Linked DNA regions of Lepisosteus oculatus. The protein of the gene in region 1 interacts with the protein of each later gene in a pairwise test. Links are inferred from orthologs where the notes say so. Each region holds a gene or a part of one and is shown in the gene's direction. Other genes may lie near its edges.

Region 1 (7,531 bases):
TGGACAGTATGTAATGGTTTTTATAGCCTGTATCTCTTTATGACATCACTCAGTTGGATTATGACATCACAATGAGTTTTTTTTTTGCCTAATCAGTTTCATGTGGATAGCAACAGTGAGGAATTTGTAAATGAACTATTTTTATTAGTGTTAATTTTCTGTTGTGGATAATCAATGCTTCTCATCTAATTTTATGGAATGGACAGAATCCCATTGCAGAAAAAAAGGATGTTTTACTTTGTATTTGACTGTTCTTTAAGTTTTCTCCTGTCTTTGAGATGTTTTAAATTGATTTCTTCTAACTTCTGTTAATTTTTAAGGCCATTTCCTGCAAAGAGAATATAATGTTTAAAGTAGGCTTATAACGAACATTGCCTTTTTTGGCTTGTTTTCTGCATCTTAAACATTAGCAAATCCAGATGTGGGTTTAGATATGAGTACATTTTAAAAAGGCCATCGATAGACTTATTCCACCCTACCCTTGATCACGGTCAGATAATGACATGAGGTAAAACTTCTTGAGATCTACTTTTGAGTTCTTATTTTATTAGTTGTAACCTGTTCTCACTATTCTTGTGATGAGTAATTTTCTTATTCGTTACCTATGTGAGTGTCTAAAAACATGTATCGCTTGATTAAGCATCTTCCGTACTCAGACTGAGGTGTGATGGTCAGTATGGGGAGGGATTTATAACAATTCATAACAATAATGTGAGTTAAATATCCTATTATATCACTTTACAGGGGAACTTAATGGCTGAATATCATTAAGAACTGATGAACATTTATAGAATTGTACGTCTCTCATCTGAAGATTTACATCCTGATTGAGCTTGCGTCTTCAGCCTACACAGCAAAAAACCACAGTCTCATTTACACAGTCAAATTCACACACATGTGCAGCCATACATGTGCAAAACATACATTTAACCTGGCTTGGAATTCAGAGACAGAATGTGGAGATGAATACTCAAATGATGATAGAGAGTAGAGGGATAAAAAATTGTTGGCACAGCTTGCTGTATGGAAACCTTTGTGTTGAAGCTTTCTTCAAGCTTTAGACTTGATAATCAGAATGAATCCATGATCCCTTACCCTTTGTTTTTGGCACATGAGGCATGAGATCTGATAGATGAACACTACAAGGCTCTCTGGCTGTTCTCTCTCTCTCTCTCTCTCTCTCTCTCTCTCTCTCTCTCTCTCTCCTGCAGTTCTGTGAGGTGATCACAGTGTACTGGCTGAGGTATATCTCTGGACAAGTGGTGAGGATCATGCTAGATTATGTTGATCATGTGAAATTTTGTTCCAAGCTTAAATCTGCTCTCATGGAACAGAAACAGTGGCAAGAGATATGTCAGATTCAAGGTAAGTGAGAGGCCTGGAAGTCTTGCATGTGACTGTTCTAGCGTATGGCTGTTAAGTGTGCTCTTATGCTTAGCAGCAAGCTGAAAGGTACAGGTTGTTAATAATGCACTAATCAGCACTGCTCTCCCTTTCAGACCAATTTAGATGTCAAGCTCTTGAGGTATTATGACCTTGTAGGTGAAACACTTCTACTAGATGAGATGGGTATCCTCCACCAGTAAGTACCCAAAACCTACAGATTACTCAGAACGTCCACTCAGTAGTGTACAAAGTGCAGATATGATTTGACCGCAGAATGTACCAGACATGAGCAATCATGCACCAATGCTACAGATATAATGAACCAAATATTTCACTCTGACTGTATTTTCCTCCTGTGAGGAAAAACATATAAGGTAACACTGGAATGTATCTTCTAGTGACTTAGGGATGGGATGGGTTGCTGCTTGTATTGTTTTTGTTTTTGCTAATAAATACGATAGATTTTGTTATCTCCAGCCTCTAAATGCGGACGTCGAATTTTGTTGTCATAACGAAGCAGGATTTTTCCGATTTCGGTCTTCTGTGTTGAAAAGTGCTCAAAATTCACTGGCCACACTTCTCTAATATAGAAAGGGCTGTGTAGCTTACTAAAAGGAGCAAGTTGTCAGTTAATACACCAAAGCATATAGAAGCTTCGCCATTCAAGATGAATGATGCGGTATTTTGAAATTCGACCCATTGTTTGACATCTAAATCAGTTTATTTCGACAAATGGTCTGGAGAGTACTGCGAAAAACCATGCTCTGAATTCAGTGATTCTTGAGGGCCTTCCTCCTGAGTCACCATAAATGTCAAGACAAAGAGAAAATTAATTTAACCCCTGTAACTGAGCACACATGGTATAGGAATATTCTAGGAACCAATCCCAGAAGGCATATTCTACTGTCCAGCTGTCATGGGAAATCACAGATCCATCTTGTCAGGTAATCTAGTCGGAGCCAGAGTCACACACCAGGTCTGCTGCCTGCTTTTGTTTGCTTGGCTTCGTGACGCAAGGGAGTGAGGCTCTACTACGAGTGTGCGGATGGGGGGGGTTCTTGCTGACCACGGAGGAGGGAGTGGCTCTGACGAGGGTCCCGCCGCCCACAGAAAACCCCCGCTGCCTGAAGCACCTGTGCCGCCTGCAGATCCGCCAATGCCTGGGTCGCCTGCGGCTCCGAGCTCCCGTCTTCATGAGCTTCCTGCCCCTGCCCAGCCGCCTCAAGGACTACGTCCTCTACCGAGAGTACGACCTCTACGGCCAGGGCACCCTCCTGGGCTCGCGGTGACACCCCAGCGACCACACGCACCTCCGGGCCTCGGTTCTCCTCAGTCCAGGGAGCAGCGGATTCCCGTTGCTGTCCTGCGCCAGGCCTCCTGAGGGACGGTCACCCCAAGCCACACGATGAGCTTCCCGGAGAAATGGAAGGGGGTCATCATTTCAGAGCAAGGGGCACAGGAGGGTGGAATAATGACATATGACTGATTCCCCTTAGGCACGGTCACATCACATCAGCCCAAAGAAACTAGATTTGTGCTGGCAAATGTCATCATTTCGCTAGACACAGTTTGAAAAGGGGATCTTGCCCCGCCTTTAGCCTGCAAGTCAGCGTATCGCATTTCTCGAATATCTGGTGGTTGGAAAAGCTTGGAAACATTCTTGCCCAAGGGGAAAGTCTGGTTGAAAGGAGCAGAACTCTTTTGTAATCAGATACCTTGTAAGCGTTATTCTTTATGCCTCTATTATTGTCGTTTCTTTTTGTTTCTTATTTTGTTTCCCCATGTTGGCTTCATGGTATGCTTATGTACTAAATGAGCTGCATAATTATATATAGGAGGTTATATCAAATTCACACATTTATTGCATCGCTGTGTTCTTTTTTAAAATTAACATGGGTAACAAAATATTGGTTAAGGAAAACTATTAAGAGTCTGGCAGTTGATACGGCTTGGTGTATTTGTAGAGAATAAGACTCATGAATGATGGTGTTCAATTTGAAAAACACTGGAAAGTAGAGTCACACTCCACTACAATCAGGTGACTAGTATCAAGTCTGAATACAGTAGTAGAACCTTCTGTCGATGATCTTACATTTTTGTTAAAACATCAGGGCATGTATCTACTAACACAATCTCAGGTAGAGTGCACTCTTTAAATTTAAAAGATCATGTTCTTCAATGCAGACACTGTTTAGCCAGATTTTACTTTAAGATTTCTGACGGGTCTAAAGATTTTCACAATCTACCAGTTTCATATTGTGCTAAAGGCAATGGAAATACTTCAGCTGTTCTGCAGCACAGACCAAGATCTGAGAACCATCTCAGATGCACTGTTACTCTAATACCTATTACTTTACTCTGTATTCCCTGTATTTTAGCTAATGCCTTTCAGAAATAAAATACATAAATCCTGAGTCTTCTTGACTTTTTACACCATGCCAAGATGATAATAATTGGGTGATTTTATATCTTGTGTGATAGTATTTCCAGACTGATAGTGACTGAACACTGAATTTTATACAGTGGGCACTGAGAATTTCAATGCCTGAAAGGAATGGTAATAAAGACTATCTGTGTTGGTGGATTATTTAGATTGCTTATATTATCATTAAGCTTCCTTTGAGCCTTTTTTGCTGTACAACAGCCCCCGTGAAAAGGATGGATCATTTCTCGTTATTGGCGTGTTATTCACAGTGGACAGTTGCAAGTCTCATTAGGTGTATGCGGTCAATACAATTATCGTCGTTTTCCTTTTTACTTCCACGGAGGCAAAATCATTGAGGTAAAGCGCTAAATCGGGAATAGTGAAGTCACTGAACGTAGGTGATCGCCATCTTGGCTCCATATAAAACGTATAGAAAGGTATACTAACTATTTCTTAGAGCCAAAATGGCTTCAATTTCGCCACCACTGTCCACTGTCATTACACTGTGACGTAAAGTGAAACTGAACAAGGAAATGATATAAATCTCCGGGAGAGTATGTTCCCCAATCAGAAAAAAACGAAGGCGGAATTTCCGCTTCGGGAGAAAGCTGGGTTGGGTGTTGTGGATATTGTTGGTCTCTGGTATTCTGTGGGAGTGATTGTTTATTGTCACTTTTTTTTCGTTTTTTGCATTCAGTTTAATATAAATTAGAAATATGCCTGGGATTGATAAACTACCGATAGAGGAGACATTGGAAGATAGTCCGCAGGTAATGGGAATTCAAGTTATTTTATATGTATACAAAGAAAGACTGTTAGTACGGTAAAAGATTGCAAAATACAGTTTTACCTTCCAATATCTGAAAAAATCTGATCACATATATTAAGAATCTTGGCTTGCTACAGCTGTTACTACAAAATTGCTTTTCCAGTACAGTCAAACTAGAGTTTGACAAGCACCATAATTGAGATTAGCACCGCATTTTTATATACTGTAGAAATAATACAATAATAGCACGCTAGCTATTTGTGTTTATATGCGCATGTATACAGTATGTGTACGTTTGACACAGCTGCCTCTTTGTATAAATACGTATTAAAATTCGGATTTTCAGAAATGGTCTCTTGCAGCGCCGTTTACTGCTAATGACAAGAATGTGATCGCAAATTATTCTCTTGGCTCGTTTACCCTACTAAATCACTTTTTTTATGAAGAGTGAAAAGCGTCATTTCTCGACTGTGTTCTTTCTCTTACTAGATAACGTTTGATTAGCCATTAAAAGGTAATGGTTTGTGATTTAAAAGTATGTGCATAAACACGAAGGGACGAAAAAGCTTCATTGAGTCATTGAGTGAGTCATCCATCCTTATTTCAAGATTCCCTGACAGAACAGAAATGCAACAATCCAGAATAATACGTGTTAACTGACAGGATTTTTTTTTAAATCAGCCTATTGAGGTAGTATTCTAGCAGAATGCCAGATGTCATGGGGATAAGTTGTTTCCAAGTTATGATGTGACGTTGAAAATATTATGTTATCTTTCTTTAAAAAAAAAACTGGTGACAGTGAAAGACAATTGTATCGTGTTCGTTTCCTGAAGCGTTATTTTCGTTCCACTCCGGTGGCTGGTATTTGTGGGGCGTGTTCTTCACAAACCGGAGCTTTAAATCACAGATTTACCCCCCAACTATCGTGCCACAGCAACGTGTCAAGAACTGAAGCGACTTCATTTGGAAAACCGTGCGACTTTGAATGACAGGAAGCGATATAGCCTCCTCGATTAAATCATTCTTTGAACCTTAGTCCTCTTGAGAGACCTATATCCCCGGCTGTTTATACTGCCAGAGCTCTACAACCACCCTTTTTTCTTTTAAAACAGCAAATATAATATGAAAGCAGTTATTGATCATGCATTTTATACAGTTAAGTACAGACTTGGTTGGCTTGAGTGTATTAGGTTTGCAACCAAAGGTTCTTCCTCAACTGCCACACCTTAAATAATATTGTTATGACGGTTTTAAAGCTCTGTGTGAATTCGCCACATTCAGTCTAATACAGGAGATGAGCATGAAGCAGCAGTCTTACTCTTAAGAAATGGCTGTACTTTATTTCCCATCTAGCTGTTACTAGTGGTTGGTTGAAGCTGACTGGATATTATTCACCTGTCCCTGAGGAAGAGTGTGGCCTTTGTCACAATCAAAACTGGAGCCTCAAAGCAGCTCACGGAACACCACAAATTTACTGAAGTATACTGTATGTTCCTTTTCCTAAGCAAGATATCTTTCTTCTTGTTCCACGAACTACCATTTCACAGCAGTTAAACCCATACGGAATTTCATAACCTGCAGTCTCTTATATAAGCCAAACTCTGAGGCAGGTGTTTCGTTACAGTTTCTGCAGGAGTCTGTAAAACTGAGGACGAGCCAAACTGCTCTACAGTGCCAGTCTTATTTGCTTGCATGGCATGAATCATGAGCTATCGCTTTTCCCCTCTGCTGGTTTCATGAGTGCTCTGGCAAGCTGGAATATTGCTGGTTCTGTTTGCAGGCCTGAAAAGGTCATAGAAAAAAATTAAATGTCCTGTAAAAAACCATTGAAAGCTATTGTAAACATTTGTACTGTAACATTGTATACAGCTATAGAGTTGTATAGCAGGTTACTGTGTACTGACAGATCCAGTCCAACCTGTTGTATGCTGTTTTATAGGCCAGGGACAATGAAAATCCCTGAAAAAAAAACCCAACATTGAAGTGTCTTTAGGGAAAAAAGGATCTTAAGTGAAAGTGTAATCCTTAAAGTTTAAACTTTTTAAAAAATATAGAGCATTATCTAATAAAACGGAGTATTCGAAATAACCAATTAGCTTGCTTTTTCATTTTAATTTTGTAACGCTGTTTGATTTTTTTTTATTCTGCTTCAGTGAGTTCAGTACCGCACTATTTTAGTATTTAACACGAAAAGGCAGAATTAAGAGAGTTTATTGTCTGACCATATCAAGGTGTCAGGGTGACAGTTTTTGAAAGTGACGTCACGCTCTTGTAGGACAGATTCCGCACAGTTCCGTCTGTACAAGTCCACGGCCACGCGCTGCGTGACGTGACGCAGCCGCAGCTGCGCAAAATCTCTACACGCGGGTTTCAGAAGCAGCTACGACGAGCTCACGAAAGAGATGAGACGAAGATTTAAGAATTTTACCGTGATTTTCATCTGAATTCACACTCGGATAACATAACCCCTTTCCTTGTGTTGCCTTTTGCCTCTCTGCTATATACATACTGTATATTAATAATATTGATTCAGTGGAACACTTGGAAGATGTTCAGGAATTCTAGTTTATTTTTGTGTTTCTCTGAATAGTTGTGAAGCTTCTGCTTTTTTCTTGACACAGGCCTTCACTTATCCTTTTCAATGTCAGGCGTTGTGTGTGAATAATTACGTTTTGCTGCAAAATACTGTACAAGCACAACTTCAAGGTCATTTCCAAATTCAACGATATTTTAGCATGCCACAGAGAATATCTAGCCTGGAATCTGTGTTTAATTTTTAGTCGTCTCCTTCAGCTGCCCATAAAGCCTTAAATATACCACAACAGGTTAAGGTGTTATTTATTTACTTTTGTGGGCCTCAGTTAAAATACTGTAACTCTTGGTTCATGATTGAACTTTGGGGTCACTGGGGATGCTCTATTTTCTATTACAGTACACAGATTATCACGGTA
Region 2 (7,167 bases), on another chromosome or scaffold:
CACATAATAATGCTGCTCAGATCTCATCCAGGAATGCTCAGGCAAATATAGCCATGAAGTGACATGAGCCTTAGTGTAATCCAGCCTTTTGGATTCCAGTGGCAGAAGGTCGGTGGATTTTATGATAGTTGGATGTTGTCTATAATTAAATGGCACAATCTAGATTTGGCAGGAACAGAACCACAGATCCAAAAAATTAACAAAAACCACCCCACTAGCTGAGCATATGCCGTGGGGGTAAATATAATATATTATATTTTCACCAATTTTAATCAATATCTCTTAGGGGAGATAGACAACTGGCGACAGGTCACTCTGAAAATAATATTTCTATTTCAAAAGAGTCTAATAGCTCGGATGCAAGAGAAAATCCATTCTTCTCTTCAGAGAGACAGGGAGGGAGAGAGTGTGCCTTAGCCCGATTTCCATAGGCAAGGTTCTGGCTCGAACACTGGGACATCCACATGTGCAGTTTATATTCCTGCTCATTAAATAGACAATGATCCCAGCGTTGCATTCCCATGCGGCTGGCAGGAGAAAGAGGCTTGAGCCATATTCCTTCTCCCCTGAGGCCCTCCAGCACTGACCAGCAGAGTTTTGGCTCAGATAAAGACAGCGAGTCTCCATTGTGTCACAACGTGTCAAAGAAGCCATGGCTGCCATAATAACTTGGGAGTGTAATCCAGATTTCAGAGGGCAGTTTCGGTAATCAAACTGCAAGTAATTGAAGTAAAGGGCCTCAAAGTAAAAATCTCAGAATCACTGGCTACTCACAGGCAAGTGGGCTAAGGCTTCTTTCTTTCTGTGATGAGGTATTTTTTTCTACCTCTAAAGTTTTTTTTTTTCTGTATGAGAAAACTTCTCTTTCTGTTTGAGGTTTAGACTGCAATCCATCTGCTCACTGCAACATCTTATCCTATCTTTTCTGACACCACTTTAATGAAGCTAGTGATTTGGCTTGGATCCTAAGAAGTTTAGTGAAGAAAATAGCCTTTAACAGGTGCCTGGAGCACTAATTTAAAGTTGCACACTGAAAAGGAACAAAATCTCTCACTTAGAAAGAATGAAGAACAGGAACAGCAGTGACAAGATGTACGATAACAGTTATAATACTGGAACTGAACATGGTGCAAATGGCACCCTATATTTATAAAACACCCTAGGGGGTGACGAAGATGACGTGGGAAGGAGTTTTAGATTCATGAGACTGTCTTAACCAAGCCACTGCATCTGTGTGCTCCCCTCTTCTGTCATCTTATACAAAATATTAACAGGCTAACAGGTATAAGTCAAGATTCTCCAGTCCTGGTGTGCTTCAGCCACATATACACTTTCAAATTAAATAGTCAATGTGCCTTAAAGATTCAGTAGTATAGTAGTACCATCTATGCTCTAATGAGAGAAGTTAGTGGAAGTAAACAATCGTCTCTGTTGTGCTAAGTACATAATACAGCTTGTCAGAAATTCTTTTCTCATGCCGGTGCCTTGAACCAACATGTGGATTGAAAATGAGGAAAAAAGTGTCATTATTAGAACTAATTTAGTTTTCAAGAGTAAGACTTTGACAGGTAAAAATGTATTTAAAGCTGGGGGAATATTTAGAAATCTTTTTAAAGCCGATTATGTCTTTCTTTACGAGCAAGCTCCAGTGGACTATTTGCAAAACTATTTACCCATCTCCCAATGATGTCCCATCCATCCATTTTCTAACCGCTTCTTCTGCTCAGGGTCACAGGGGAACCAGTGCCTATTCCAGCAAGCAACAAGCACAAGGCAGCATAAACCTGGCCAGGAAACCATCACGGGGCAAATAAGCATGCACACTTACAGTATGCCTAGGGACTGTTCCCCCAGAAACCAATTAACCTACCAGTACAGTATGTTGCTGGACTGTGAAACCCATGTGAAACACAGGGAGAACATACAAAATCCACACAGATAGCACCCTGGGTCTAGAATTAATCCCAGTGTTGCAAGGCAGCAATGCTAACACTCCACCACTGTAATCCTTAATTACTTTTACGATTAAGGTAACTTCTATGCATTCTCAGAACTTTTAAGGGTGTAAAAAGTTAAATGACCACAAAATCTGTAAAAAAAAACTAAGACATTCATTGCAAAGTATTCACCCAGGTGAGTCAACACCTGCTGGAAGCACATTTGGCACCAATTACAGCTAGGAGTCTTTTTCGATACATCTACCAACTTTACACAGTGAGATAATACAAATTTCTGCCATTCCTCTTTGAAAACGTACTAAAGCTATGCCAAGTGGCTAATCAGTTTTCAAGTCTTGCAATAAATCTTCAAACTAGGACCTTGAGCCACCCTGATATTCACTTTCTCCTTAATCTACACTAAGAAAGATTTGGGATATTGCCCCGCTGGAAAGCAGACATCTCACACCTCAGGTTTTGAACTCTATACTTATTCATAGTCACCACTGGATTCATATTGGCATCTGTAACTGGTTTCCCCATGCCTGGCTGCTCAGTTTGGAGGCAGTGCCTAGGTACACCCACTTCTTAATTAACTTCACCATACTCAAGGGGCAATTTATACCCTTCTCTGTTTTGCTGTAACTTCAAAATATCTCCAAGTTGTTTTGAAAGCTCATTGGTCTTCATCGTTGAATTCTTGTTTGAAATTCAGTTTTCATCCCCCATAGTAAAAAGTATAGAGCCTCATTAAATGACCCAAGTCATTAATACCAATACGTAATTGACCACACTTGTTATAGACCTGAATTTCTATAACAAGTTTTTACAAATGCTTCAACAATTATAAAGATCTTCCTGCCTGATCTATTTTTGGATTTAGAATTAAACTCTTCTGAGCCCTCAACCTGATTATTTTCTGTTTTCTTTTAATCTGGTAACGTTCCCAGGTGACCCTAGGCTTCACCCTTATAAAGCAGCTGCCCACTTACTATTATAATGAGCCAGAAGTACCTGACTATAGCAAAGCCAATAACTAAAGAATGATCTACAGTATAATTAGTTAACTGGAACATATCAGGGGAAACTAATTAATCAGTTGAGCCAAGATACCAGCTAGAAAAATAACAACATCCAAAAATTGAATGCTTTGTGAATTTTTGGAATGCCTGGTAAGACAGGTTTTGTTTATCCCACTTGGTTATGGGCAGCCTCCTGGCCATAGAATGAGGGTGTTTGAACCCCATTCGGAGAGGGGTAAACCAAGGAGAGGGTAGAGAGGAGGTGGAGGAGGGATGCTTGAGACTAATGCAAAGGAAATGTTTGTTCAATATATACTGTATAGAGCTAATTTCAGTAATGATAGTGATTATGTAATGAGATTTACTTATCTTTGTTATCCCTCCCAAATTTCAGTTAAGAACTTCCATATCTAAGTGATTCATTAGGTTGTATCTGTTTATTTAGATTGTTATGAACATTTGTTTTAAAAAAATCTGTTACACCATGAGATCAAACCTGAGAACTTTATGTGAAAAATACAATATAAAATACAATTTTATATTTTATTGTCAGGTTTTAATAAAATATTTGTCTTAAGACTTGTTCAGACAGCTGTAAGTTCATTGACTGTCTTGCAATGAGGTTTCCCATTTATTTTTGTCTGTGAGTTTCATAATAAGAATAGTGTGTGCTGAACAAAGTTCATTTTGCTCTTAACATGCACTGCTCCTTATTAAAGAACTAAGTGAAAGCCAAAAATTGACAAATATTTGCATATGCCAAAAAACGTTTTGTAATCACAGACAAAACTAGACAGCAAAATGGACTTTAAAGTGAAAGAAGTATGAGCCTGGTTATAACACTGTGTTCTTTTATATTTTAATGAACTATAATCAGAGATGGAACAGATCAGATACACAGAGTGTGTTGCCAAACATTTATAGGTAACATGAAGTCAGAAATTAGTGTCTTATCATTTTTGGAATTCCTCTGGTTTTTGAGGAGGTAATCTATCTCCACCATTTAGTGATGAATTCAGAATGAGGAAGAGAGGAGAAAAGCAAGAAAGGCACTTGCTCCTTATCAGAGTCCTTTCTCCCAAGGTCTCTGATGGGCTTGCTATATAACAAAGCTGGCTGCGTGCTCAGGATCTATTTATTCACTTGAACAATGTGTTGTTGTCTTTTTCGGTACCATTAGATGAAGATCTAGAAGAGCAAAACCAATCTGCAAAATTCTGGAATCTAATGATATATAACTGCAATATCAAAGTAGTGTTAATGCTTGTCAGCTGAAAAAAAGACGATCCACACATCACCGCTTTATACACAAAAACACAAAGAGACCAGATTTCTGTGGACGGAGACAGAATGATCCTGTTGTGGGTTTACTTTCTTTTGATAGGAATGCAATGCATTGAATGCCACGTCTGTGCAAGCAATGGGACAACCAGATCTTTCTCATGTGTGGGAATCAAAGTTCTACAGATGCCTACTGACATTCCACAGAACACGACCTATGTGTGAGTAAAATGCCTGTAACTAAAGACATAGAATCTCAATTGTGTTAAAATCAGTAAATAGCAACTGTTTGAATTTCTTGTTCTAATTGATGTAATTATCTTACATTTATTTATAGTAATATAAACATTAATATTTTAGCTTTTACAAACTATATCATATGATGACTGCTGGAATGAGTGAGTTTGAGTGAGTGATCTTTTCCAATTGTCTTATTTTTTCAAATTCAGTTGTTACTCCTGCAAATATATTTTAGCCAATATGGCTGACTGTAACTACTATTTTGTAAATGAATGGGTGGATGTTTATGGCTCTTTTAATTAAGGGAAAAAGCCTTGAACATCATGTGAAGAACAACATGATCATATTTTGATGACTTCATTTATAATGCTGCATAGCGTGTGAGTAGATAGTAAATAATCCAGCAGAAAACATCTTAAATTTTCCAGCCAGAAACTTTGCAAATATCACAGTATTCTTTTTTCAATTATACATTTCTGCTCAGTCTTTACCAAAAATAATGTTTAATTAGAAATATCACAGTGCTTAATGCTTTACCAAACCAGAACAGTACAGCAAAACTTCATAAACACTAATAACAGATCAAGTAAATGTGTTTTTCATTTTTATTTATGAGCACTTCTCAAGAAACTCATTTTTATCACCTCATGATAGGAAAGATTTATCTTGAGATGTATAGGATCCCACTCCAGACTTGACACAGGTTAATAATGGTTGTCACAGGGACTGTACATCTCCAAGTCCCCAGTTACTCAAAACCCCTAAAACTGGTCCAGGACATGGTGGGGAGAGTTTCTTGATTACTCTAGAGAGATCTGAGGAGTAAGTTTATATTATTAAACCAGTAATACCCCATTCCAATAAACCTCTAAGAGTTAATCATGTAAATTTAATAGCAACGGTGATTATACAATATATGGGAAGCCACTATGTATAATCTGGGTTCCTTGTGAAACAAATGTGGTCTAAAAACTATCATAAGTATCTCAATTTATTGTTCCCCAAGATTGAAAGATAATGGAAAGAAACTATCTTTCTGATGTATGAAGAACCTTTAAGATTTTTCCCACTTACTTTTGTTACTTACATTTCTTGAAACATTTCCACTCTCCTATCCAGTTTTTAATATTTCGTTTCATCTATATGCTTATATACTGTAGATGTTTTTTAGAGGAACCTTTTAGTTACAAAGCATTATAAAAAAGCATTATGAAAAAAGTTACAAAGCAGCAAGATTTATGTCACGTTTGACCAATGCAAGCTGGAGACTTTGTCAGTCTTTTGGCACTGTGAAAGCAATAATGATTTTTTCTTTGGTGTGTAACTCAGATTAATTCATAAGAGTTATTTATAAAATGTAGGTGTGGGGAAATTTTAGGAAGTCAACTACAATGATGATCTAAGGAGTACAAAAGACCTTCTAAGGAAATTAGAAAAAATAATAATAAAAAACACCTGGACGTTAAACAGAATAATTACATAAACATTATTTCTTCATTTAAATGAGTGGTACATTTTTAGCTGAGAGCAGTTTTCATTCTGAATATGCTGTGCTTTAAATCAAGCAAAGTCTTCCCAGCCCTGTTAAATCCCTATGTGTTAGAAATTAAATTCAAATGCCCCTAAGCTATATCTGACCCCCTTGAAAAAAAGATACAGAAACCTACCTAGTTCCATACGCAAAAGGCCCTTTTTTTTCTCAAGGCTCTGGGTTTTGGTCCTAAAGGACAAATGTATCAGGTGAAACACAGGATTAGAGTGCCTTTGGCTACTATATCAATAGTTTATATTACAATATTAAAAAAACATAGTAAAAAATACAGATGATGTCAAAGTTGTGGCAAAAACTGGACATAGCAAAATAAACATTCTTGATGAGAGATGGAGAGGATTTATATCAGGCCATTATTGAAGCTGCAAAAGAAACATCTATTTTTGATTATTTAAATACAAGAAAGTCTAAATTGTTATGCTCTGGTATTATTCAAAGCTAAGATAACTAACTGTTGTGGAATCAGAAGTATTTCGTTGGCATAGTACAGAAAATCAGTGCATTTATCTTTCATTGTGTGCAGTGACCATAAAGATATTAGAAATTCCAAGGAAATGTATTTAAAACTAATTTTGCCTGGTGTTTTTATGGTTTCATGATCAGAAAAAGGCAAAAAAATGAAAATATTTGTAAAAGGGAAAAACATGGGATAATCTGAACCTGAAGAGATTACTTCTTTCCAGATAGTAAACTGCTAGGTAACTGAAGGTCTTGCAGTGGTGACAGAAATTAATTAGCTGGGACTGCTGTGTATATAACAGGGAGCTGTAGATGCTGACTATGTAGAAAGATCACAGAGGTACATTAACTTCTCTGGTACACAGACTGCACAGAACAGAGAATCTATTTTCTTGTTTACAGCTAGTTTACAAAATTATCTGTCTAAACACCCAGTTCTCCAGTAATGTAATCTTACTCTAACAACAAATGTGAAGGATTGTTGTATGTGGTTTTCCAACTCCCATGTGTAAACACAGTGAGAAATTATTTGTTTTTCACCTGTTTGTTCAAGACAACTATTCATTTGTATACAGAGAACTAATTAATTAGCTCCCCCGAAATGGTGAAAGCAAACAGGTATGGTATTGCTGACCATGCAGTATTTAGTCATGAAACTGCACCATAGTATTTAGAT
Region 3 (7,946 bases), on another chromosome or scaffold:
GAAGCAAAATAATTCAATGAATATCTAACACAGAGACGTTGAATGAATATTTGAATGAAGATGCATGTGCATATTGATTACAGGTGCTTTTAGTACTGAAAACAAGTAGTACGCCTTTACAAACAAGATGAACTGAAAAGCCTCCCCTTGTTTCATAAAGAATTGTCTAGGATGTCTAGGATGAAGCACCCAGCAAACTAGTGAGTGTGACTCTCCGAAAACAAGGTATCCTGGGGTATTTAAGGTATTTAAGTCAGCTTGCGGCAATCACACAAGCAAACCTGGCCGAATGATCTCTTTCTCTTTCATAGGGGTAAAACAAGACAGACCAAGCCAAATGAGAAAAATACTAACTTTTAGGGTTTGCATTTAGGGAAAATATGCATCTGGAACTGGGGAATGCACACATATTTGCACCAAATATTATTAGTCAGGATTAATGTTAAAAAAAACATTAAGTTCTCTCATTACATGTTATTATGCTGGCTTACTAGAGCTGCTTCATTTTCTAGAATGAACATGCTGCTCATGCAGCTGGACTGTTTTATATTTATTTCTGTGTAGATCAAAGGATTTTATTTAATTTTATGAAACACTAAAGGGGTTCTCAGTTGTGACAGGTGACAAATATTTTGACATTAAATGGTGAAAAATGAAAATTACTTCAGTTATACGATTTTGCATGTGAAAAACCATTTTTCAACTGTTTTCGCTTATTTCAGTTTTATTTCATTTAGTGCAATGTGCTCTACTGCATTTTGTTTCCCTGATTAAGACAGTTATTGTGCAAAAGAACAACAGCAATAGTTATTTTACTATGATCGTGATGAATCACTGATTACTTCATATGACTACTGAACTATTGTAAACACATTGTCCACCAAGATCCAACAATGTTAGACCTGGAATTGATCATATTTACAGTATAATGTAATAATAATGAAATAATAATAGTTGTATGGGCTACAGAATACAACATACAAATACTACATATGAAGGCTATGTAAGCTGTTTTATAGAACTACCCCCAACCTGGATGATGCGACGGCAGCCATAGTGTGCACAGTACGCTCACTAAACGTTAGCTATCAGTGGGGAGGAGAACAGAGTGAACAGAGTGAGGAAGCCAGTTCATAGATGGGGATTATTAACAGTATGAAGTATTAGAAGCTGACTGCAGAACCTCAGTTTTACATCTCACCCGAAGGACGGCACCTTCTTACAGTATAGTGTCCCTGTCACTATACTGGGGCATTAGGACCCAGACAGACCGCAGAGTGAGCGCCCCCTGCCGGCACCACTAACACCTCTTCCAGCAGCAACCTTAGTTTTTCCCAGGAGGTCTCCCATCCAGGTACTGACCACACCAGATATTGCAGCCCTCCAATTCACAGTGTTTCAATGCAATAGCCACCCAATGTACCTTGGCGCAGAACTTCCAACTAAAAGGTCCATAATCATCAAAATAAGGCAATTCAATTAGAATTCATTCACATAAGAAATAATTCTCAAAATTTTTCAAACAAAAGGATAGATATATATAGCACTGGCTGTCAAAAGCAAAGTGTTCTTCAATGTGAGTAAGGTACAAATGAGAGCAGAACTACAGCTTCTATTTTAAGCAGAAGGTATAATACTGATTATACAACTGTGGAGCAGAGAGTTCCTAATGCACACACATCTCGTGGGAAGGGGGCACATCACACTAGCTGTAGGTGGTGAGGAGTAAAGACCTCCCGTTTTGCTAGTGGCATTTGCTATCCTGCATCTTATGAAACAGCAAAAAACGTGATAAATAATACATTGTAATCAATGAGGGAAGGTAAATGCTGTGGGCCACCTCGGTGCTGGGCTCTGGCAGATGGTGAGCACTTTTAATTAGGATCTGTTCACTTGCAAAACTGTGCTAATAGGATCGGGCAAAAATGGAGCCATGCTGCTTTTCACAGTTGTGCCATACATCAAGCTCCGAGCTTCCACCTCAGGACAATTCCTACCCCTGGGATACAGTCCAAGGATGCCTTACTGCACATTCAATATCTTAACTATCAGGAAATGCCAAGCAGAGGAACTAGACTGTGAGCCTAGTGTTCCCAGTAAAGGATTGTGTTTTTACCACACATACTTTACAAAACTTTGTTTTTACATTATAATAACAACATTCAGCAGATGCATTGAATATAAACAAAACTTAGAGGGCCTAAAAAAATCAGGACCTGATTTTACTAAAAGGGCAGTCAGGACCTGAACTGGTAATCCCCAGATACAAAAAAATCTATTTCTTATCCACAGGAACATGAACTACTTTACAAATTACAACAACAATCGCATAAAGAATACGTTTTGAAAGTTAACAGAAATGTCAGAATGTTATATATACTGCATATTAAGCATTATATGCATTCCTACTGTATATTAATAATGCTGTACAAAACTAACGCAGATAGGATATTAAAAATTAACTTATGTGATAATTGTGAAACAATATTTCCTAGTCTTTCTAAAAATATATATATAAATGGATGCAAAAAGTGATAAATTGATGTGATTAAGTTATGAGTTAGAAAAAGTGAGAAGGGAGTTAAAATTTTTCGGATAAAAACAAGTAGAAAGAGAGTCGGGGAGGTTTTCAATTTTTCTTAATAGGTCCATGTCCGTCCAGTCCGCAAAATACATTATTAATGTTGGGATTATTATGGTGTTTTTCAAAACAAGATACTGTAAATTATAAATTGTGTAGCTGACTACATCTATCTCCAGTACTTTTACTTTTGTTTCAATAACATTAAACTACCAAAATTCAATCTGGAAAGCACAATGAGTAAATTGGGTACATGTCCTATACTGACAGGCTGAAGGAACTCAAGCCCTTTAGTCTTGAACAGAGAATCCTACAAGGAGATCTGATATACAGTATTCACAGTCCTAAAACGCAGTGACACAGCATCAATCCAGCGGATTGCTTCAGAATGAAAAGCAAGATAAAAACCAGAGGATACAAATGGAAATTATGTAGAAGCCCATTTAAAATTGTGAGCATGAGACACGTGGGGATGTGGGACTATGCAACAAGGTACCCAGCCATTTTGTGGAAGTTAACTGTTAGTTAATTGATCCAAGTATCTCATCCAGCCCTTTCTTGTTAACCTCAACACCATGGATGGGGAGCTAGCTGTTATTAATCTTTGTTTTTTAGTCCATTCAATCCAGTAACATTTTTACACAAAAATAGGCTGCAAGTTTAATTTCATTACTATAGTTTCAACAGTCTGTAAATGATCAATTGCCCATGGAATTCAAGTAAGAAAACGAACAGGGAAAATCTACATGTTTGCAATTTAGACAAAATTACTGTCTAAGCCAAGAACCACCATTATTGTGTTTCAAAGGCTTTTTAACAGCAGGATCTTTAAAGCGTATGATTTCTGCTACATAATTTATGGTTGTGCAAAACATGATTGTACATCACGTTCAGGGTTTGTGTAAGACTTGTTATAAATTAAGTGTTCGGTGCTGTAAGATATACTACTGAAATTTAGTACTAGTAATAGCAGTTTCTGTAGAGCCAAGTGAAATTTGTCTTCGCATTGTATTGTGTGTACTGACGCGATATACTGCGCTGTGCTGTTCGTGTCACAGGGTTTCTATCTAGCGGTTGGAGAAGCTGGAGAAAAACTTTTTTACTCTTCATGTACTTTAAAATCCTTTATACTTTATACTGTATACCTGCGCTCTCCAAGGCCTGTCATAGTAAAAAATCGTTACATAGATAATTAAAGGTGTCGAATTATGTGTTATTAATATAAACTGTTATGCCAATGTATCAAAACCTTTTACCTTTATCTCACAGCTTGTGTAACAACTCAGAGAAGAGAGGGCTTTGGCTTAAGCAAAAAACTATCAAATGCTGAAAACAGATCATTTTGTGTGTAGTTTTGGATAACATTTAATGCGACAACAGACTGCAATTAATTAAAATAGGTTTTGTAATTATAATAGTGTAATAGGTTTTACTTTATGCTATCACAGGTGCACAACAATGGACAAGGAATTAACTTTTTTCGATTCAAGTATTTCGGGATAATATTGTAATTAAGAAAATACAAATGATCACATTGTGCTCCGTAATTCTATAGGAATAAATACTTTATAAATCAGATCACTGCAGGAAAGAAAAGATACATTTATCCCTCTAATTGTGGATCGGGTTATTGTTTTCGAAAACTAAAACACATAACCAAAAGGTCATAGTTAATAAAGCAGGTTTTCATATCAACATCGCAAGTAAGGTACAAGTGCGGGTTATTCTCCGCTGGGACCAGAAGAGGACACAGATGTTGCTGCTAAATAATATCATTACTTCTATGTGCTATAAAAATGCAACCGTACTTTCAGATCCTATCTATAACCTGAAAGCTCTGTTACACTGCAATGACAACACTTGTATAACATGGCACAGCGTTAAATGAAGTGCCCGCTATGTGATTCATGCGATCACGAGTAATTAGCAATAAGCAGTGATCAAATACCTGTAGTTGTATGAAGGAAATTTACTGCTCTCCTTCATCAACAGCCTGTACAGAGAAAGCACCTGACTTCTGCTGGAGGCTGCCATCTTGGGAAAAAAACTGCGACCTACTCCTGCAAGGCCCGTAGGATAGTTTACTATCGAGGAGCCTCGATAGAAATCTTAATAATTGTGGACTGATTTCCCACAAATTGCTTTATGTAATAATACATATTTAATTAGTGTAATATTTATGTTATAATATTAATCTAATATTTAATTCCATTGTTTTAGTTTGATAAAAAAGTTCAAATTAAACAGGCAAATCAGGAACTGCTCAATAATAAAGTGTCAGGACTGGAGAGCGGAGAAGGTGAGTGTGAGTGAGTTTGTGTTGAGAGAGACGTTTGTTGTGTTTCATATAATCATCGTTTCTTAAAGCTCTGCCGGCTTTTAAAACATTTTTAAAACAATTAGTTTACGATTTGTGAGGCTAGTCAAACTTTATGTATTTTCAGGCGGATGAGATTTTTTTCCCATCCTGTTACACAATGTATCTTGAAACGTGATGTACGTGCTAAAAAATACAAATATTAAAAGTACATATACAGTAGTGCATATTATTTAATATGCATATGGACATCCATAAACTAAAATAAATTACAGAGTAGTGATACATATAACTTACAGTAAAATAAAGCTTTTTATGTATTTAATAGAAATGGGAAAAATGAACATGCGGTGTAGAAATGCAAGGTCAATTATGAATAAAGATCTTGGTGTAAAGGAAATACAGTTTTCGTGATAAAGTGGGTTTTGAAATTGAGACTGCAGGTGTTGTAACGTAGCAATGCGCTTGATAATACCGTAACGGCTACTGGAGAAGAAAGTGACGTAATATTTTCTACTACACTCATTTTATGTTGCTTGCCTTGAAAATGCGAAGCCTGTTGAAAAAAGAAATTACACGAGGGATATTTTTGGATCAGAAAGTCCCTAGGAGGGTAAGGTGGCCGCTGTCTTCTAGTTTAGAATAATGCCATTCCTTTAGCCGGGGATAATGTTCCTCAGTTTTATGTTAAAATTAATAATAATAATAATAATGTTGCTTTATTAGCCCAGTACAATTCCTGGCATTAGGAATTCGTCTTTTCGCATACCCCAGCTTGCTCTCCATGAGACACAGACAGGGAGAGAACCTTGGGGTCAGAGTGCAGGGCAGGGTCAGCCATTGTACAGCACCCCTGGAGCAGTTGGGGTTAAGGGCCTTGCTCAGGGGCCCAACAGGGTAGGATTCCTCTGCCGGCCACAGAATGCGAACTGGCAATTTTCCAGCCAAAGGAGCAGATCCTTAGCCACAGAGCCACCCCTCCGCAATCTCACAGTTGAGTATCCCGCATCGGTCTTTTCGGCCAGGACAGGAACTATTAAAATGATCGGAGTGGTTGAAATACTTAACAGGCGAATGCTGCACATTGGTGGTGGTGGAGGGGAGTCCCCATTACCTGTAAAGCGCTTTGAGTGGAGTGTCCAGAAAAGCGCTATATAAGTGTAAGCAATTTTTATATTATTATTAGCTGTTACTTACGTGGCTGTGGGTTGATGCAACTGCGCTCAGACTCCGAGATCAAAAACCACCAAAGTTAATATTTTTCAAAATATATAATGAGAAATAGAGAATTATTTAATAGCTGTAAAGACTATTTGTGTAAATAAAATATTAGTATCTCTGGAACTGGTTTTGAATTGCAGAATTCTGATTTGTGAACAGATGCAGGTAGATGCTGTATTATTTGCAGAGCTTCAGGTTTCCGTTTTTAACGGATACCTTTATTTAAATGCCATCAGTATTTATCCAATAAACGCTGAAACATCATAAAGCAGTGGTGTTTATGTTGCCGTCAGTCCTTTCCACGTATTGTATGAATTGCTTGTCCCTCTGCCTGATGTGCAAATTAATTTATGTTAGACCCAAACTCCGACAAATCTATACCACCTTTGCATAATTAGGCTTTTACGTAAAAGGATGTCATTCCTTGCATCTTCTATTACATTTCTAATCCCTTGTGTTTCTTTGTGCTAATTGTAACTTCTAACTTAGTTACTATTCATTTGTTGAAACTGTTTATTTATTTGCTTTTCCCTTAACTCGTCTAGAGAAGATACTTCTAAAGGTGCTATATAAACTAAAGTTTATTATTATACTTACATTTTAAAACTAACTGTTTTAAAATACTTATTGCAGAGGACAAATGCTTAATCACAAAAAATTCAAAAAGAGCGCACCTGATCACAGATTTCAATAACTAAAAGGAGGTACTTGTATTCCCAAATCAAGCTTTGGGCTGGGCGAGCTGCCTGCTGCAGTACTACTCTTCTATCTGACCTGTGAGAAGAGCATCCCTGCAAACTGGTGCCAAAGCCCAGAGGATGTGCTCCTAATTTAACACAGACAAAGCCAGTTTCACATGGACCTTCATTTTAGAATGCTGACTCCCCGGGTCTGCAGAGAGGTTCTGTATTGAGTTCATTCTGATGGTCTGACGAGAGTTGAACTTTCACATCGGCTACAAGAAATGCCTTCCCCTACTTCATTTACCAGCTTGCAGGCAATAGCGTTTCCTGCCTCAATTCCCAAACTGCTCCCGCCATCTTACCACAGTTTGTTTATCCATTGATCCATTTTCTATTCCGCTTATCCATTCCAGGGCTGCAGAGCTTTTTACACTACATACACATGCACACGCTCATAAAAGGGCCAAATTTACAAGAAGTCATTTAATCTACCATCTTGTCTTTGGACTGTGGGAGGAAAACAGAGCACATTGAGTAGATACAAATTATATGCAGATAGCACCTAGAAGCAATGTTGCGCCACCCTTTTTTGCCCCACTGACTGCAGGGACGGATTTTGGTGTTCGTAGGCCCTAGGCACTTTCTCTCCGAAGTGTGCAAAAACGTGACTAATGCCACTTGAATTATGTCTATTGACACAACGCACTTTCAACTATTCTAATGCTCAACCACGTGATTGATGGAGTGAGCCGAGTGATCATCACTTCGATACTTCTAGTTTCTAGAACAGCCGCTAGATAGCGTATGATCATTATTTGGAGCACCTAGAGTCGATCACAAGCTTGTTGTTTCAGCACATTTTTCATTAGTCACTAGTGTTTCCCTCCTACGTAGGCCCTAAAAATTCTGTAGGCCCTAGGCACTGTGCCTACAGAGATCTGGCACTGACTGCCTGGGATTAAATAGTAGTGTATATAGTAGTAGAACTGGAACACACTTGATGGTAATTGTATCCTTATAATATTATTGCTTGTGATTTATTATTGAATATTATGTGCTATGCTTAATGTCAGGAGTGTCTATTCCTGGTTCTTGCTTAGCTTAATAGGACAAGTTTAGCAACTGTACTGACACTTCACTTCAG
Region 4 (7,839 bases), on another chromosome or scaffold:
GACTGCCAGTTGAGAGTTGCAGGCTGATATGGCTGCTGGCCTAAGGTATAAATGCAAAGCGTTGTCTTTGGTGCAAACTCAACACCATCCCTTCGGACAAGCACGGTGGAGGCAGCATTATGTTAACACTGTATTTTCTTCACTTGAAATGAACACACACGGGTTTGGGTCTCGCTCTCTTTGGGTGCAGAGAGGAACCGTTCTGTCATTTCCCCGGTCGTGATGCAGGTCTCGGTGATCCTGAGGAACTCCAGCAGGGCGCGCTCGAAGAAGCCAAGTCTGTCGGCTCTGAATGCGATCCGACCCGGATTCAAACTGAGTTTTTAAATATCTGTTTAGGTGGCTTTTATTTTGAAAGGTGCTGACAAGCTAGAGTCGCTTAATGTAGCTAGCGTCACGCTACTTTGCGGGTCAGGTTGCGGGTGAAGGTGAACTCGCGCGCGCCGGTCTCTTTGCAGTAGCGGATGAAGTGCATCGGGAAGATTTATTTTATCCCCCGGGTGCCCACGCGTAATTTCTGCTCCGGGCAGACAAAGCTGAGTAAATTAAACCTTCTGCCTCTGACAGGCGTACGGGGCAGCCAAAGAGAAATCCTTGAAAACGGTGCTGAGGGTTTCATCTTGCGGCGGTACACAGATGTTCTGCGTGTGGCCCGTCGCCTGCAGGACAAGAGCTAAAGTTGTTTTTTTTTTTTCTAATTAACGAGAAGAGCTGATTATCAATACAGAACACTTTCGATAGGCGAGAGTTACTCTGGGCAATTTATATAAAAAAAGACTCATAACGCTATTAGGGTGACTGGACTGTTCGTTTTGCTTCTTCGTTTAGTGAGTGTAAGACAAATAATTTCGATGGGATACCCATTTTTCGAAATCTCCTGCCATGCAATGCTCCAGCAGAACTCCCTCACTAGTTTATTTCCCTATAGTAGTTACGCACTATTAAACCTTAAATTTAAGCCTATACCAGACCCTATAGCTGCAAGGTCCGCCGTAGCGCAGTGAAAACAGACGGGAAGCGCAGCTTCTCAAACTAGATTCCAAAACTATAACGCTCAGAAACAACACGATGCCCCTCCAGAAAACCACGTCCATAAACAGATGTAATTATGAGAACAGTAAATACGGGTTCCAGATTACAAAATTGCAAGTGTGTAGTCTCACTCTCTGTACTTCAACGTAAGTCTTCAGCTCAAATACAAGTGAAAGCTCCACGACAGTAATTAAAATGCATGTGTATTCACTCAGTAATTAATAAGACAAGCAATCAGATCATTCGGGCATATGCACTGATATCGGAAAAACTTAGTTACAGCCTATTACGGTAACGCTTAAAGAACTGTTCTTCGTGACGATTCCGTCCGGAATCCTCACCTTGCGTAATAAAAAGCTTAACATATATTTAAATCCGAAAGAAAATAAGACAATTATGGCATAATACCTAGCAATAAAGGTAACAGTCACACATTGTACAATTGGGATCGCCAGTTAATTCACTGTAATTTCACATACTATATACTATATACATACGACCCGATATAATAACATTAAATGTACAATTAAATTGTAGATAAATGCTAAACATGTCACGTTTTTCACATTGAAAATCTATAAAATACCATTGTACATTATTAGTAAAAACAATTCAATTGCAGAACCGGTTGTCAAACCGGTAATACCCGTTACTGTGTGTCCCTTAAAACAGCCAGAAACAATTCAGTCACGTTCCTGTTTGAATTGGAACGAGAGCAGAGTGTGAGGAAACAGATTTTATTAGATAATGTCGACGTGGAAAAGGCAGATCTAGTATATGGGTACTATTACACTGTACCATCTCGTTGTTTACATTGTTATTGTTATTGTAATTGTATTTCCTGTCTATTGTCTTGTCTGTTCTATATAAACTGCACCTGAGAGAATAATGAGAAACACTTTATACTTTTATCCCTGTGTAAGTATAATGACAAATAAAATTGAATTGAATTGAATCGAATCTAGTTTAACCTGTTATAGTTCTTTTGAACAAGCTACAACTGTATGATTACAAATAGAGCTGTAAATATATTTATATTTTCAGAAATATTTTAATAAAATTCTACATAAAATATGAATTCTTAAGTTTTAGGGAGAAGGTAAGCAAAGTAAACGATGTCTTTGGACTGGTTAATGGAAAGAGGCCAGTACAGATAAGGGGTTTCAGGAGATATTGCTACTTTAGAAGTCTTTCAGACCGAAGAAGAACAACCGGATACGCTCCCATTGTCAGTTCTACTGGGACAGGCAAAATTATTTGTGCTAAAATAGTTTAAGTTGTTAACAGAGAAAACGACGAGGGGTACATGATTCAAGTGTTCAAAATCACCAGGGGCTTTGACAAAAGCATAAGACAAAAGAAAACTAAGCTAAAGTGCCTTTAAACAAAGAAAAGAAGGCACACATTTACACAAAGGGTAGTGGGGGTCTGGAACAAGCAGCTCAGCCCTTTTGTTGAAGCCGATATATTAGCTTCTGCAAGAAACGCCTGGATGAGATCCTCGAAAAAATTAGCTACTAAACCCCTAAACGGGTTTTTATTTAGAGTTTTAACATTATTCAAAAAAAGTAATTTTCAAAACCAAATTTATGATGTGAGGATTCACTGGATGTTAATATTAACCTGCTGATTATAATCTGTGTGTTTTTTTTTTCTTTCGTTTCCGTTGAGCTCCCATCCGCTGAAGTTAGCTTGGTGAATCTGCGTGGCCACAAGGCACGTAGCAGGTCTTGAAAACAACCGTACGGGACGTTTGAAGCGTCGCCCTCCGCGTCGGGCAGCAGGTGGCGCTACTGGGCCTTCGGCGTTTCGGAGCCTGCGCAGAGAGAAGCCTCTTCGTTTCCTCGCCGGGCTTGTTGTTTTCCCAGGAAGCCGGAAGAAGCGACCTGTAGTTTGGGTCGGAATCGGCGTCCGGTCGGGTAGAATCAGGTAAGACGGGACAGGGTTTTCCGAACTCTGCTGAGAAGCGGAGGAAACCGGCGGGTTCGCCGTCCGATGTTGGTTTCAGCCCCGGGCATTCAAGCGCGCACACGTCGGTCTGTTGTTCCTGAGTTACACAAGCGGCTTTCGTGGGTTCGGGTTCAGATCTTGGCAGTTTGGAGTTGAGGTTGGCCGCCGGGGCATGTTCGGAAAGTGACGGGTTTCCAGGCACCGGGCGCGCGCTAAGCTCGGTTCCGGTGTCAGGAGGTTCCGTTCGGGTGCCGAGGCTCTCCGGCTCCCAACCGAGCTGGTCTCCCTGGATCGGTGCGGGGCAGGCGGCCGGATCTCGCCGAGCCAACACAAAAGCCACCATCCGGCCTTTCGGGTGGGAATATCCGTGGATCTGAGAAGGAAAATCGCCGTCGCATCTGCTGAGCGAAGTTGCCCTCGGAGTGTCAGGCATCTGCAGTTTGTGCAGCTGCGTGACACAAGTATAATAACATATAGTAGGCAGTCGCCGGCTTAATACTGCATTGGTGCCCTCTACAGACAGAGCGTTGTTCACTAATCCATGCCGTCGATTGAAGCATACCTATTGAGCAGTGATATGTTTTAGATGTGACTGATCCTAGCTCTGACTGTCCGGCATGTGACGAATACTGTACCCCCAGACCGAACCCAGTTATTCCCTTTGAAGTCTTTACTGGTCCTACTCGCTCAAGTCAGATTGGTCATTTATTTCTGTATTATTTAGATGATAGCTCTTAAGGTCGTGACTGTGATCGACGGTGGAAATCAGAATAAGCATTGTTATTAAAACAGAAGCCTATTTCTGTGCTGTGTGGATGTTAATTCTGTGCTGGAAATATTGTCTGGTTTCCTGATTTTTGGATCAATCTGCAAATGCTCTCCAAGATGTTTGCTTCTTTGTCTTGTTCCTGAGCTGCACAGTGGCGCAGTGGTTAGTGTTGCTGACTCAGCTCTGGGGACCTGGGTTCAATTCTGGACCAGGGGGATAATCTGTGTGTATATTCTCCCTTTGGTTGTGTGGGTTTCCTCCAGGTGCTCTGGTATCTTCTTTCAGTCCAAAGACCTACTGGTAGGGTTAATTGGCTTCAGGGGAAAGTGGCCCTGGTGTGAGTGTATGTCTGTCTGCCTGCCCTGCGATGGACTGGTGTCCTGTTCAGGGTGTATCCTGCCTTGAGCCCATTGCTTGCTGGGAGAGACTACAGCTCCACAGTGACCCTGTATTGGACAAAGCAGTTAGGAAATAGATGGATTTATTGTTATTTTTACACCATATGTACACTGTACAGTGTAATATGTAATAAACTTATAATATGACTGTACAGTAATAAGCTGAGTTTTCTTTTACTCAGTGCTGTCTGTATACACTCAGGAGGTGAGAGTAAAGATTAATTAGACACTTTAATAAAAACAAAGCGTCGACCTTAGAGGACTTCTATAGTCGCAGCACACTCTTGGGGGATTTACTGAGGTTGAATCCCCCACCCCCAAGGTGATACATTTTCCAAATCTGGCTTTGTCCCTTAAAAGCCCAATGCTGGAGTGCAGCTTCAGTCCAGACAGCGTATGCAGCCTCAGACAGGACAGTTTGGCAGTTGTGGGTGAATGTTTATGTGTTTGAAAAGAAGAATGGGAGCAAAGTACAACATGTGCAATTCCAGCATAAACAAAGCCCCCAGCTACGTCCGTGCTTCTTATTTCTGATGCGGAGACTTGCCCGTTTCAGCTGTCATCTTATCGGCCTGTACGTTGTTGGCAGCGATGACCTTGATGGTTTGTGGGTCAAAAGAAGCTTTAAGCTTTGCTTTGTAGAATGACGTTAATGTGTGACGTTTGTTCTCTGACTGCTCACTTGCCACTTTGGGACTATAAATGCATTAGATGCCCACACAGCCCCGCCACTTTAGAATGAGCGCCGTGGAATTGTCTGGTTTTCCGTGTTCAGCTCCACCAGGTACGTTGGCATGTTTGTGTCTGCTCCGTTTTGTGCTTGGTAGCTCTTTGGCAGCGTTTATTTGACAGCATCATACCTCTCTTTAAAAGAGAGTCTTAGCTACATCTGTATATAGCTCTTTGTATTCATTGTGCTCTGGGTGCAGTACATGTTTTTATCACCATTAACTGCAATTCAAAGTATTGGAGTTGTGAGTTGGGTTTTTTCACGCTCAAGGGGTTTATGTTCTGTTCTGTTAGGAGATGACCAATTACCGTTTCTTTTACAAAGTCAGTTCTTATTTTACTTTAACAGACCTTGAGGGAGTTTGGTCACCGATACAGAGCTGTATGGTTTAAGTATCTGTTTAAATATTCCTTACATATTTAATACAAAGACTAGAACCTTGAATATGTGCTGATATATAGCACAGTAAGTCAAAATAGAGAAAACGCCAATATAAAGTGTATTAACAGGGTGTTAGGCCACCATGTCCCACCAGTGCAGCTTCAGTGCCCCTTGGCATAGATTCTACAAGAGTCTGGAACTGGACTGGAGGAGTCAGACACCACTTCAGGAAACGAAACCTTTATTCGAAAAAATGCTTACTCTTGTTCTCGGCCTCCGAGATCCCAACATTCAAAGCACAGAGAAGAGAAGACACTGGTCACAAAGCCGTTTGAGACCATTCTGGGCAATTTTCTGCCCCATCACTAGTACAGTAAATGGATACTCCCAGAAACGTGGGAATAAAATACCATGTTAGCTCCGGTTGATCAATTAAGTGTGGATGTGGAAGCAGTGCATCTCATTGGCCATCTGGGGTCCCTGTTGTGGCCGACCAGGGCTGATGTGTCAGTGGCGTGGCGGCAGGGGTTGTGATCTTGCTGTGTGTCTGTGTCTGTCCGCAGCAAGAAAGGGTGCCCTGTACGTGGGGCACAGCGGTCAGGCCAGGCAAGAGGGCGATCTCCCCATGTCGGCCAGGAACGGCTCGGCAAGCGATGAAGAGTGCCGTATCACCGAGGTGTGCCGCGCCCCCGAGGATGTGGAGCTGACAGAGCTGGGCCCCCTGCTGGAGGAGTCCGGGGGGCCAGGCAAGGCACAGGGGGCCACAGCTGGGGTGAGTCCTCTGGACCTGGGGGGGGGGAGGGAGATGCAGAGGGTCTCAGACACTGGAGCTCCAGTCAGAGAAAGCTAGCGAAGCTAACTGTGTGACTGAACACAACTTCCCAGTGCGTTTTATATACAGCTCCTCAGGTCTACGGAAGCTTTTTTGCGCCACAGAGGAAAAAAAAAGTTTAACACAGTCTTGCATTTAAACTAAAAACTTTTCTGAGTTTATACAAGTAAACATTGCCTTAAAACGGGATAATTAATTTGCGAACAATATCGCCTGCTATAATGTCGCAATATATATATATACAATAGTATTGTCCCATACACACTAGCATGGACTTTAAGAACAGAAGAATATGGTGACACTCCTTTTTGCACAAAAGAATTAAGCGACAGGAGCGCGTGGAGTTCTTTTTGTATACATGAAGTAGAACTCCTTGCTAGTGAGCATTCCTGGGTTAAAAGAGTCTCGGTTTTGCCGTTTCTGTGAAAAGTAGAAATCACGTGGCTTTCCAAACATGTTATTCTACATGTAAAACTGCAGAAAAAAAGGAACTGTACATAGGTTTTTGCCTTCTCTGTAAACATTGAACGGAATACATTTATGATGACTTGACAGTAAGACGTCTACCTATTGCTGGCTTACTGTAACTGGTATTATTGTTGGTAATCATTGGTAGACCAAGCCAACGATGTACTAACAACTGTATCATGGGTTGTGTGCCGTCCTGTTTTTGTTTTGGCATTCCCCTATCATTTTTACATTCCATTTGCATTTACATTTGCCAATGGACACAGAAATACTGTTTCTTCTTCCTTTAAATGACATGTTTCCTGCATTTTGCTTTTTTATTACAAATTCAAATGGATTTGATATGAGCATAGTGTAGTCCAAAAACCTTTGAGGGCTTTATGCTTAAAGAGTCAACAATTAACCAACAATAACAGTATTGTTCACATATTAATCACATTTGAGCTGTATGTTAGCTCGTTTAAATGCAATACTGTCTCTTACAAATGCAAAAGGTTTCAAGTTTAAAAGCAGCACAATCTTATATGAACACAAAAAATATATTTTTCTCCGTGGCTCTAATAAGCTTCCATACGGGTCTGGTGTTTTGCTTGTATTTTATTTGTGTTTTTAGTATAGACTGATAAGAATCAGAGTTTTATCATAGGGGGAGGTTCAATTCTGATCTTTTTTCTGATCCACGCCTCTCTGATTGAGGGGAACGTAAAAAACACAAAAGGCCTTTAGCAAAGATGTACTCCGCCCAGAAGTAGCTGAGCAGATTCAGACCATCACTTTACCAGTGACTGGTGTTGAAAGGTCCCTGACACAACAGCTAAGCAGCACACAGCTCTCTGCTTGCATATGACATGTCTAAACAGGTTTCTCCTCCTTCAGTGCCAGATGGATAGAATTGTAATGCAAAGGGGATTGTGGGAAAACACAATACAACATAGACATGGGCATGCCTTTAGTGAGGACATCTGGCAAATAGTAATGCAACTGAAATCAGGAGCAGAAAATTGGTGAGACCACACACGACGATGCAACATGAAAGAGGAAGGGGCGTAGTCGGCATCCAGAACAGGATGAACAACAAACTGTACCCAGTATCTCCTTGATAGAAGCTTGAGGACTGTTACAGATGACAGGAGGCCAGCTAACTTTTGCTAGTTAACTAGTTAACCTGCTCTTAACTAATTAATGTGAGGATCTCATCTAGCTGTTTTGGGTATATCGGGTTGAACAGCATGACTGGGTAGCTTGTACCAGACTCCCACAACTCTTTGTGTACAGAGTT

The links. The genes of interacting proteins can lie anywhere in the genome.
Region 2: the proteins of appl1 (region 1) and fshr interact in a two-hybrid assay, tested with the Homo sapiens proteins (2 studies listed by BioGRID). The link is inferred for Lepisosteus oculatus from reciprocal best matches to the Homo sapiens genes APPL1 and FSHR.
Region 3: the proteins of appl1 (region 1) and fars2 interact in binary tests that used the Homo sapiens proteins (3 or more experiments, as listed by UniProt). The two-hybrid records come from large-scale screens. The link is inferred for Lepisosteus oculatus from reciprocal best matches to the Homo sapiens genes APPL1 and FARS2.
Region 4: the proteins of appl1 (region 1) and adipor1a interact in binary tests that used the Homo sapiens proteins (3 or more experiments, as listed by UniProt). The link is inferred for Lepisosteus oculatus from reciprocal best matches to the Homo sapiens genes APPL1 and ADIPOR1.

Annotation. Positions count from the first base shown.
Region 1 is NC_090699.1:56,773,061-56,780,591, forward strand, and holds the start of appl1 (DCC-interacting protein 13-alpha), read left to right. Parts: upstream 1-4,400; 5' UTR 4,401-4,527; coding exon 4,528-4,581; intron 4,582-7,531. Other genes in the region: asb14a (dynein axonemal heavy chain 12), read left to right, coding at 1,212-1,365, 2,497-2,675. UniProt on the Homo sapiens protein: Multifunctional adapter protein that binds to various membrane receptors, nuclear factors and signaling proteins to regulate many processes, such as cell proliferation, immune response, endosomal trafficking and cell metabolism.
Region 2 is NC_090712.1:12,719,138-12,726,304, forward strand, and holds the start of fshr (follicle-stimulating hormone receptor), read left to right. Parts: upstream 1-4,017; 5' UTR 4,018-4,309; coding exon 4,310-4,461; intron 4,462-7,167. UniProt on the Homo sapiens protein: G protein-coupled receptor for follitropin, the follicle-stimulating hormone. Through cAMP production activates the downstream PI3K-AKT and ERK1/ERK2 signaling pathways.
Region 3 is NC_090701.1:18,440,975-18,448,920, reverse strand, and holds the start of fars2 (phenylalanine--tRNA ligase, mitochondrial), read left to right. Parts: upstream 1-4,796; 5' UTR 4,797-4,880; intron 4,881-7,946. Other genes in the region: lyrm4 (LYR motif-containing protein 4), read right to left, coding at 4,530-4,615. UniProt on the Homo sapiens protein: Is responsible for the charging of tRNA(Phe) with phenylalanine in mitochondrial translation.
Region 4 is NC_090700.1:30,415,304-30,423,142, reverse strand, and holds the start of adipor1a (adiponectin receptor protein 1a), read left to right. Parts: upstream 1-4,689; 5' UTR 4,690-4,860; coding exon 4,861-4,933; intron 4,934-5,823; coding exon 5,824-6,032; intron 6,033-7,839. UniProt on the Homo sapiens protein: Receptor for ADIPOQ, an essential hormone secreted by adipocytes that regulates glucose and lipid metabolism. Required for normal glucose and fat homeostasis and for maintaining a normal body weight.